Neurospora crassa OR74A: one gene and its partners. The protein of the gene in region 3 purifies or fractionates together with the protein of the main gene of each other region. This does not show direct contact. Links are inferred from orthologs where the notes say so. Each region holds a gene or a part of one and is shown on either strand. Other genes may lie near its edges.

Evidence for each region.
Region 1: the proteins of NCU03321 (region 3) and NCU03380 purify together in Saccharomyces cerevisiae (affinity purification with mass spectrometry; 7 studies listed by BioGRID, with this or other methods). This does not show direct contact. The link is inferred for Neurospora crassa OR74A from reciprocal best matches to the Saccharomyces cerevisiae genes ERB1 and SPB4.
Region 2: the proteins of NCU03321 (region 3) and NCU09004 purify together in Saccharomyces cerevisiae (affinity purification with mass spectrometry; 5 studies listed by BioGRID). This does not show direct contact. The link is inferred for Neurospora crassa OR74A from reciprocal best matches to the Saccharomyces cerevisiae genes ERB1 and TIF6.

The regions. Positions count from the first base shown.
Region 1 is NC_026502.1:903,952-907,551, reverse strand, and holds the start of NCU03380 (ATP-dependent rRNA helicase spb-4), read right to left. Parts: upstream 2,272-3,600; 5' UTR 2,195-2,271; coding exon 1,964-2,194; intron 1,900-1,963; coding exon 166-1,899; 3' UTR 1-165. UniProt on the Saccharomyces cerevisiae protein: ATP-binding RNA helicase involved in the biogenesis of 60S ribosomal subunits. Binds 90S pre-ribosomal particles and dissociates from pre-60S ribosomal particles after processing of 27SB pre-rRNA.
Region 2 is NC_026503.1:4,190,539-4,194,097, forward strand, and holds NCU09004 (eukaryotic translation initiation factor 6), read right to left. Parts: upstream 2,662-3,559; 5' UTR 2,262-2,661; coding exon 2,227-2,261; intron 2,020-2,226; coding exon 1,861-2,019; intron 1,737-1,860; coding exon 1,190-1,736; 3' UTR 703-1,189; downstream 1-702. UniProt on the Saccharomyces cerevisiae protein: Binds to the 60S ribosomal subunit and prevents its association with the 40S ribosomal subunit to form the 80S initiation complex in the cytoplasm. Is also involved in ribosome biogenesis.
Region 3 is NC_026501.1:5,301,133-5,304,958, reverse strand, and holds the start of NCU03321 (eukaryotic ribosome biogenesis protein 1), read right to left. Parts: upstream 2,169-3,826; 5' UTR 2,105-2,168; coding exon 1,710-2,104; intron 1,640-1,709; coding exon 1,400-1,639; intron 1,327-1,399; coding exon 1,214-1,326; intron 1,154-1,213; coding exon 1-1,153. Other genes in the region: ada-4 (all development altered-4), read left to right, coding at 3,355-3,421, 3,533-3,826.

The DNA of each region.
Region 1 (3,600 bases), on a different chromosome or scaffold from region 3:
ACTTTTCGAGTACACCCATTATCATGATTACCATGAGGACTCATGGATACAGCATGCCAAGAACCAACAAAATTCCAATTCATCAAAAGGGTATATACGCCTCATACGCCTTTACGTCTTAGAAAATGAACCATTACCATCAACTCCCATTACCCAAGAAGCTACTCAATCATCAAACCCACCAAACTCTTCATCACTATCGTCCACCTTCTTCACCGGAGCCTTCGGCTTGGGTGGGTTCGCCGCAAGCGCAGCTGCCCTCTCCTCCGCCGCCTTGGCCTCGTTCCGTTTCCTCACCTCCTCAATCATCTGCTCCAGCTTGAGATGCTCCTCCTTCTCTTTCTCCGTCATCTCGCTGAATTTCTTGGCCTCCCTCTTTCTCCTCTTCTTCTCGCGCCTCTGCAGTTTCGTCTCCTCCTGTTCCGCCTTGCCGCTCCACGCCTCGTTCTTCTTGCGCTTGTCGCCCGTATTCTCTTCCTGTGCCCGCTTTGCCTTCTCCTCCTTCCACTTGGCCAGCTCTTCCTGACGCTTTTTCTCGCGCACCTTGTCCTTGAAAGGAATTTCTTCCGTGTTGATGCCCAGACCCAGAGAGCGGTCGATCTTGGCTTCGCGGACTTCGGGCATCTTGGGCAGCTCGAGAAGGCCGTAGCCCTTGGCTAGGTCGAGCCAGTCGAGGTCGGCGATGCGGAAGATGGAAGAAGCTTGGTGTTCGATGTAGGAGCGCGTCCAGGAAACGAAAGCGAGCTGGGCCATCTGGAAGATCTCGCGGTCGGCGAGGGCTTGCGATCGGAAGGCGGCGGAGACGCGCTCGACTTCATCAGGGGTGACGGAAATGGCGGGCTTCTCCAGGGGCGTGATGGGAGTTTGACGGACTTCAAGAAGCTGTACGTAGCCTTCCTCGCGACCCGGCTGGAGCAGAACGACGGCGAGACCCCGACGACCGGCACGGCCGGCACGACCGCAGCGGTGAATGAAAACCTTGGTGTCCGTGGGCGGGTCGTGCTGGATAACGAGGTCGACTTGGGGGATATCAAGACCGCGGGCGGCAAGATCGGTGGTGAGGAGGACCATGGGCGAGGTGGTGTTGACGAAACGCTCATAGTTCTTTTCGCGGACTTTAGGTTCGAGTTTGCCGTGCAGGGAGGTGACGGAAAAACCGGCGGGCAGGACGGCGCCGAGAATGCGGCTGAAGTACTTGACGGCCATGCATGAAGAGAAGAAGATGATGGATCGCTGGGGCCTGGGCTCGAGCTTTTCGAGGAGCTGGACAATTGCTGGCATTTTCTGGCTGGCTGGGGTAACAAGGTAGCTCATCTGTAGAGACATTGGTGTTTTCCTCTCTTGAATTATGCCACCGTCCTTCAGACTCTTCACTCTGACGGTGATCTTGTGTGGGTACAATAGACCAACTGTAATCAGCCTTTCAACGGCGTCACTGAGCGAAGCACTGAAAAGACCAGTACGGCGCTGCTTCGGAAGATATCCGAGAATGCGGTTGAGCTCGTTCGCGAAACCCATATCGAGAAGGCGATCGGCCTCATCCATAATGAGAACCTCAAATGTAGACGCGGGAGCCTTGACGTATGCGCTCGACAAGAGTTCGGCAAGACGGCCGGGAGTGCCAATTAGGAGATTCGGGGAAAGACGAAGGAATGTACCGAGATCCTCAGCAGCCTTGGTGGTGCCTCCGACAAGTAGTTGGGGGACAACGACAGGCTGGGTTGCTGTTGGGCGCTTCTCGTCGCTTTTGGCGTGGGAAATGGCTTCAGCGGAGGGTTCGTGAAACTTGACGAGGGAAACGAGGACATTGTAAATCTGGGTTGCAAGTTCGCGGGTGGGCGAGATGATAATGCCTTGGACATGGTTTCGCTTGGCTGGTTCTTCGCCGCGCAGGAGTTTCTGTTGCAGAATCGGTTAGCATATGATCATCCTGAGCTGGTAGACAGCAAGAGATCCGGCTTACCTCAACTACCGGAATCAAAAAGGCAAGTGTCTTTCCACTGCCTGTTACGGCCTCGACGACAACATCTTTATTTCCACGGAAGAGCTCAAGGCATGACTTTTGAACGGGAGTCGGCTGGGTAAAGCCCATGGAGGAGAGGTAGTCAAGAATCCATTGGGCGAGAGGAGGCGTGAGAGCGTCCCAAGACCTTGGAGGCTTCCGGACCTTAGTCTGTGGTTGGGTAGGCGCCATGTTAATTATGTGGTTGGCGGAGTATCGGGGCGTTGTAATCGATCCCTGAAGCTCTGCGTATTGCCCGTGGTGATAGCAGTGCGATGCTGTTGAAACAAAAATTGGCCTGGCGACCATCCAAACAATCCTTATCTTATCTGCCTATCGATAAAGCTAGCGTGAGCGTAACCTCGCAAGTTGCATACAGTACACAGCAGCCTTCACTTCTTTCGAATCCAATTTGATCGGTCCAAACCTAAAGATCTTCCCATTAGATTTCAGAAATTCGTTGGACAACTCACGACTTATACTAATTATATCCCAGATGTGCGCTCAAGCCGTTTTGTATCGTGAATATCAATAGACAGCTTTCGGATCTTCACGATCGTCTGTTGTTACTAGTGCAATTATCAGATATTGGAATGTGGGTCTCATCGAAGAACCCACGCAGCCACGGCAACCTGACAAAGGCTTGATCTTATTTGCTTACATGGTATAGGTAGTGTAATGCTACAACTGAAGGTGTCAATATTCAGCTCGACTAAGCTCCAGTGGCTCCCAAAATTGAAGTCTACGTCGTCTTCATCCAACCTTGTTTGACGACTGGCCGTCTGCTCAAGTCCATGATAGGCAAACATGCTAAGAACGCTTGAACCACTTTTACATGATGAGGAGATTGTGTACAAAGAAATCCCCATCAACCGAGATCGACCAAGGTGATGAACGTCAACGGTTGAGCAGAGTACAAAGTCTCTTTTCAACAAGGCACGGCAATATACTATGGTATAGGTATATCGAGCAACGCCTGGCATGAACTGAAAATGGCGGCATTCACGCCCAACCGTCTTCCTTCAGTTCAGTCTCAACTTCCTGTTGTCACATGCAAGGTCGCGTCGCTGTGTGCTGTTGCTGCTCTTGAAAGGCCACCACCCACCAATGTCATCACGCCTTGCCGCAATTGGGGTAACGGACCAGGGCAGTGAGCTGGGGAGCCCGGTGCAACCACCTGAAGCGCAACGCAGGACACGCGCCGGCTGATTCCCACTCGCACTCATGGCCGGGCATCCGCAACAGCCGAAATTTCTGTTCTTCACAAACACCGAACCACTGTCATTCGTCTATGATCGTCATCACTGGATCCTAAACCAAGTCCAGCCCAGGGTAACGTGCCACCTCAGCCACCGAGTACGGGTACAGTTTCTTTTTTTTCCTGCTTTGCACATCTTTTTTTCCTCTTGCTGTCAAGATACCCTTCTTTTTCCTGGACCTGAACCCTCCATATCCTATCGATTCGGCAGAAGAGTCGAAAAGAACCGACACTTGCCAGTCAGAAGCATCATTACTCGTCTTGATGCCACCACGGGTTTCCCTAATTTGCTGAGATACTGTCTGTCTTACTTGACTAAGGAACCCGGTCCATCTTGGTT
Region 2 (3,559 bases), on a different chromosome or scaffold from region 3:
GGAAATTGACCAAAAACCCCCCAGATTGACGTTTCAAAAGAAACCAATATTCCCGAACGATATTTCCACTCATGACTAAGTCTAGTAGTTTAGTCCACGCATCTTTTGCCACAAGCTGCATGTCTCTCAACGGTCAGGGCATCGCGGAATAAAGCTGCGTGGTTTAAATTATTTCCACCCATCACATACCAAGCCGTTTCCAGAAGAAGAAGCAGGATTCTCGAGTGAGACATTATACGTAGCCGCCGTGGATTACCATGTCGTTGTGTGTGGACTTGGACTCGTGGTAGGTATTATACGCATTCTATAGCCCCCCATTCTATGCATATGGACATGTCAGGTCAACAAAGTGTTGACGAATGCTGGGTCCCACGAGTCCCTGGAACGGACAACCACATCATCGTGCATGATGAAACACTGCATCACCGCTGCTTGCTGGCAACCGCCGCGATCGCAACCAACCCTGGCACTCGAGGCAGCATCGGGTGTGGTACATGCCGTACTGTGTTTTTGCATGATGGTTTTTTTGTAAACATTGATGATGGGGAATTGTCTCAAGAGGCATCTCGCTTGGCGTCTGGATTTGCATTCGTAAAAGGAGGTGATGATCCCGTCATAGAGCATAGGGGACGAGCTTGGAGTTTCAGTTGGTCTTCTTCACTGGATGACAGGTGAACCAAGAACTACCAGTACAACCCTAACCCTTGGCAGAAAACCGTGCCTTGCCCCAAATCCCAAAGACATTGGTCCCGCGTTCTGGACTTATATGTCACATGTTAACTGAACCTCGAAGAGTATCTATACTTCGTGATTATTCTGAACGGCCATGGCCATGTCAACTGGAAGCTTTTTTTCATTCCAGATGGCATTTCCAAAACTCGAAGCAATCTCGCAATCCAGGCCGAGCCACAACCACGGTCATCTTCACACATATCCATATCCTCACGCAAAAACGCCAGTCATAGGAACCATTCATTGGAAGAAAAATCGCCTTGTTTGCTCACGCTTGAGCATGCATGTCAGAAACGACCCATTGTCGTTGGTATACCTGACAAGAATCCCGCCTCCTACACATCCATCTCTCGCCTCCGCTCCCTCCTGCCTCACACATTGCCTTCCTTTCTCCTTGCCTACCAAGCACAGATAACACCAACTCCAAAACAAGCCCACAAAAGAAAAACCATTGGATTTAGTAGAAAGACTCGACCATGGTATCCTTGAGGCTGGAGTTGATCTGGCCAGGCGCGGCACCCTCTCCTAACCTGAACACGCTCTCGATAACACTCAGCTCGGGCGCCGTAGTATCAAGACCAGTGACGGCCATCCAGTCGTTGACCACCATGCCACCGCCGATGACGTTGGAACCTCTGTTGACGGAGCCGGCCACCAGCGGTACCTGGAGCAGGGAGCTGAGCTCGTCCTGGTCCTGGATGGATGTCTTGGGGTGAACGAGGCCGCCCTGGTTGCTGAGCGCCATGTAGCTACCGACGAGCACGTTGTCGGCAATGGTCTGGCGGAACACCTCGACGCCGAGCACGTCGGCAATGATCTCTTCGGTCTCGCGCTCCAGATCCGGGTGGATCAGCGCCGTGTGGTCGTTGCACACAATCACGTTGCCCAGGGCCGACAGGCGCTCCTCGATACGTTGTATGCGCACGTCGTCGGGGAGACTGTTGCGCAGATGTTGCAGTTCCTGGTCGCTTGTGGTAGTGGGGACGAGGAGACCTTTGCGGTTACTGTAATTTTTTTTTTTACTCGTGGTTAGCTTACCAATGTCCCATAATCAGGTTCTCGGTTGCGCCCCCTCCGATACTTGGGACTAAAAGTTCAATCAAAAATGCAGAGGGAAGAAGCGCCTACCCAGCTGTCAAGCGACCGATGATTCTTGTGCCGGCAATGGTGGTTCTGCAGATAGGGATAACATCTTGGAGTTCGGCCTCGAAGACGCTGTAAAAGTTTTCGCTGGCACCGACGGCGACCAAAGCGTAAGAGTTTGTAAGTGTGGAAAAGACTCCAACCCTATTGAGAAAGCAGACAATGTTAGCGCGTCTGCTACTTGATATCCCGAAGAACTACCCTCCGCCCCCCATTCAGATTCAAGAGTCGCCTTGCTGTCGCGGTGTCGAAGCATGGTATTGATGTCGTCGTCGGTGGCAGGCGGGGCAGATCTTCGATTTTCGCATCGCGATTCCCCATCTCGGAACGTGGAGGCCAAGCAAAACTTACTCGTTGGAGTTCTCGAACTGGGCGCGGACAGCCATGGCTTCGGTTCTTCTTGTGTAGTGCTCCTAGTGGGCTTCCTTTACTTGGTGGGTGAAGTGGTATTCCGATAGAGACGGAGAGATTGAGTTTATGCGACTGAAGCAATGGAGATTGGAGGTATAGAATGCCGTTTTGCTGCTTCGCGAATGACGACTGGTGGGGTGGGCGATGGAAGGAAAATATAATCTGGATTCAGACTCCAGGCTATGTGTAAAGTGGGGCGCTATCAAATCTGGAATCTGGACTGAGGAAGAACCACACAGCTTTTGGAAGCGGGTACCAAGACCCTTACAGATGTATGTACCAGTACTTGCCTTCAACAACAAGACATGGACGCATACATGCGGCTTACCAACCCAACCTCTCTACTCAAACCCTTCCATTTTTGCCATCGAGAAGTATGAGTTTGTCGAAATTCTAGTGCACTTGCATCGATACAATTTCATTTTCAATCACCGGTGACTCAGACACTTTGGAGCAATCCTCGTAAGGCTACGCGAGCAGTGCCTAGCCACCCTCGGGATGGCAAAAGGCTTGCCACACAGCCCACTATGTTACAGCGACATGGAAGCTATCCTCTACGTCTACCCGACCCCATTACCGCCTCCTAAAGCTTGTTTGCCCAATCAGATTTGCAGTGGCTTTCCCATTTGGTAGTGTACACTACCGCCATTTTCATTATGATTCATCATTGTTGCGATATGCAAGGTACCCAAAGAGGCTCACTTGCGGGGCGTAGTAGAATAGACTGGGGCTTGTTTCAACAGTTCAACTTCTGCAAAATGTAATGAAGTTGCTGTTGCAGTGTACTGTGTAGAAGATCACAGGATCCTGGTGGTATAGACATAGATGCCAGAAGCCGACATACCGGACAATTCATTTTGGCTTATCTTTTTTTGTTGAACTCGTCCGCTCGGCTCATGATGAACCCTAACCCACGGATTCACAACCTCTCCTCGTCAGCCCATGTAGCGACAGGACAACAATGAGAACAACCAAAGTGTGGCTAAGGGAGCCCGGTTGTCATTTTGGGTTATGAGCTTAGCAGAGGGAACGTATGGCTGGGGGAACATCTGGTTCAGTTGACGAGAAAGCGCACTTTGCCATAATGCCGTGAGGTACCTCCATATAACCCGCTGATACCAATTCCCATGACCGTTGAAAGCCATCATCCAAGTATCATCGCCTTTAAACAAGATGCATTTATACCAAAACTCCAAACTCCCCTGCCCCCGGCTGACCGTCAAGCACTAGTCTCGTGAGACCAGTAGTCTATTTAAGACGACGCGAACATTTA
Region 3 (3,826 bases):
ATTGTTCGTTGAGTGGCGACGAAGAAGAGAGGACGGAGGGGATGGAAAGACGCTGTCTGAGCCAAGCCAGAAAGCTTGCGGAAGGGAATCTGGGTGAGGTGCTTGGAGAGCGTATGGATGGCTACGGAGCTCCTCTGTCCGGAAGGCGATACTGTCGCAAAATGGTCTCCTTTCCTGTGCCAGTTGATGACCTTCACGGTCGACCTGACTGTGATCCTGATCAAGACACCCTCATCCTCGAGCTTAGCACCGGGGCGGGCCCACTTGGCAGGAGGCTCCTTGCCGGGAGCAGCGCCGTGTTGCTGACCGTTTGTAGCATAACCGAAGCCAGCCGACAGGATATCTCTGCTAGCCTGGTCCAAAGCAGGAGTAACGCTGGCGTGTGTAGGAACCATGAGGTAGACATCCTCACCCACAGCAGCGGAGAGAATGAAAGAGTCCTTCGCGGGCCTCCACCTAACGGTGTTGACAGCCTCCTCACTGCTGAGCTTGACGGACCAGACTTGGCGACCCGTCAACAGCTCCCACACACGTACCGTACCGTCGTCGCCACCGCTAGCGACAGCAACACCAGTAGGGTCGATGGCAACGCTTCTTACACGGCCGTCATGGCCGCGGAAAACTGTTTGGGCAACTGTAGGGAAAGGCTTGAGCTCAGAAGGCGAAGGAAGCTTGGGCAGGAGCGAGTTGGGATCGATGTTGAGCCTGTTCTTCCGCACACGAGGAGCAAGGTAAAGGTCCATGCACCTCTCGAATCTCTCCTTGACGATCTCGCCATAACCGGGAACTTTCCGCAAAGAGTCGTATTTCTGAGGGAGATACTCCTTCTCGCGCTCCTCGGGGTCGAGCTTCTCCCACTCCTCTCTCTCCTCCTTGGTCGGTAGGTATTCTGCGGGCGGGTTGTAACTCATGTCGAAACCAGGAGGAGGCAGCTTGGGTGCCGGGATGTGCAAGGGGTTGACTTCTTGTGGCACCTCATCCTGCCAGATATCAAAGTACTGCTCCTCCTCTTCCTCCTCCTTCTCGCGCTCCTCAGGGGGCTTGTAGGGCAGGATCCTGCCTTCCCTAATGGCGCGAACAAGCTTCATAATCTTCTTGGCCTCGTTCTTGGAGGGGAGGAAGCGACGCTTGGGCTCAGGGGCAGCGCTCAGGGCTATTGACTTGTTAGTTGCACCATTTCAACAACGATAAGTGTAGATAGATTTTGACTTACGCATTTTCTCCTCAATACCAGTAAAGTATTCCACGGTTTCAGGGTAGGGGTTTTCCAGCTCGTTGGGAATCATACCCATCTGGACACGGCGAACAAGCTCCAATTCATCATCACTACGGTATGGCAGTCAGTAAGCGTGACCCGAAGAAACCGAGCAAGACAAAGGAGGATGGGTTGGGTGCATACTTGAGGTTGAGAGGGTTGCCGGTGTGAATATCCGTAAGGCCAGTCCAGCCCTTGGGCACTTCGATGCTGTCGAGGAGAGCATCAAGAGCGTCGCCAGTGGCCGGGCGCATAATCTTCTTGCCGTTGATATCATAGCCGATATGGGGATAGCTGTCGTAGAAGCTCATGGGGATGTTGCCGATGGTGTTTGGCGCTTCTTGGGCATCGGAATCGTCCGAATCGTAGACGGGGTCGATCTCACTGTTGCATTCTCGAGTTAACTATGCTGGCATGGAACGATATTTGATCCATTTGCAGAACAACAACATACTCGTAGACGTAGCGCTCGTTGCCGTTCGCGTCCTTTTCGATCCGATAGTTCTTGTCTCCATCATCCTTCTCCGGCCGCTTGGGGTCGACTCCGGGTATCTCAATCTCGAGTTCCTCTTCTTCGTCCTCGAGAACAAGTTTGCCCATTGCCTTGTCGCCCTCAGCATCGGAGGGAATGTCGTCGCTTAGTAGGGAGCCCTCCTCATCTTCGTCGTCGCTGGCCTCACTTCCGCTTTCCTGCTCGCCGTCCTGTTCGTGCTCATTGTCGTCGAAGTCAGAATCGAACTCGTCTTCGCTCTGCGACAGGGCGCCGTCAAAATCGGGTGCAATCTCGTCGTCGGACTCAGGCTCGGCGTCCTGGACCTTTCGCTTCTTCTCGGTGGCTTTTGGCCCCATTGTGAATGTGTGTTGATTTTTGGCGTGTTTTCTGCTGGTAAAACACCCAGATAGCGTCGCAGCGATAGGCGTCGAAAATTCCTAGCATACGAATTGGCCTGGGACTTTTTTTTCTGCCGGTTCTACAGCTCATGGCGGGGACGAGTTGGTCTCACCGCCCTTGGCATTTCTGGCAGCTAAAGAACCATAACATATTACCCTATCGGTTTAGCGTGTCAAAAGACAAATGAAGCCAGGAGCATGCACTCCGTGTCTCCGTCCCTCTGATACCGACTTCAAATTTTTAGCCTTATTTGTTACTTGTATATCATGGATGAGATGAATACCGAACTCCAACCTCGATGCAGCATCCCTCTGCACCCCTACACCTGGCTTCAACCACGCACGATTCCACTTCTGTAGTTCGTCCTGCCCGTTCTGTGGGTATTGGCAGTCAAAACTGGCAAACCAGCATCAATCAAATACCCGGCGTGATCAGATTGAGTCTCCATGGATCGCTTGTAATTACAGACTTTTGTTCGAATTTTACCCCATTGCCTCTTACACTACGGTTTTTGTCACCATCGCCGTCTTTTTGCGCTTTCCAAGCATGGCAGTTGACAATATGTAGTGTAGCACGACGCCTGCTAGGGAACCTTGATGGGCTAGGGTTACTCGACACCTTCACACTACACTACTGCCATAAAACCCACGCTATAGTCATCCCATAACTAGCAAAAGGACATCATTCATGCCTTTGGCCAGTGAGCCACATATATGTCCAAAGGCCTGGGTGTTTGACTGATACACTACCAGTGCCATTTGAGGCAACGCGGCAACAAAAGTCAGTCTCTGCATTATCTGTGTCAATTGCGGCTTATTAATATGGCATCAGGTCTGGCGCGACCAGGTGATCTTTGATTGCTTGCGTTGGCTCGTTAACATTGCGGGCCTGGAGCATCTTGTCTGAAATCTGCTTTCTTTGCCCTCCTCTGAAAACGAGTCGATCCTATCATCCTAGGTCCCTTGTTACAACGTACATATCCATGCTGTTTGCCCATCTACTGTGTACACCACACTAGCGTCTACATAGATAGTGTCTTGGAGTACCACCGGGGCGATTTCTGTGTCTTCTAAGCGGGGCTTGCGGAGAGCCTTAGACGTTTACCTTACCACTCAACCCTTTTTATCCACCACACATCTACGCCCGCGGAAAAGAAGGGGAGAAAAAAAAAGCAAAATAAAGGAAAGGCCGGTTGCGGAAAACAGCCATGATCTCAAACAGCGAAGTCACTAAGGAGAAAGAGCCGGTGAAACGCCGTGCCTGTGACGAGTGCCGTATGTTTCGTCCCGCTCCCCGTTTCGATCCATATATTCATCTACCTCTACCCTCTAGTCAGCAACCATGACTGCCCAACCGCACTAATGTATCTAAATTAACAAATGCAGGGACACGGAAACTTGCTTGCACAAAGGAACAAGATGGCTGTGCGCGGTGTAAGCGCGAAGGCGTTCACTGTAACTACTCGGCCCAGAAACCCATGGGTCGGCCAAGGAAACGTCCTTACGTCGACGTGGCCGAGGCATCGCGAAAGGAGGCAAAGACTGATGATGTTCCCCCCAGCGAGACGGCGGCCTTGACCTATCCTGTTTCCATGCCCTTTGATGGGACCCTCAACCTGGACCTGGATATGTGCTTTCTCGACGTCACCAATACAGACATAAATTTCAGTGACATATTCG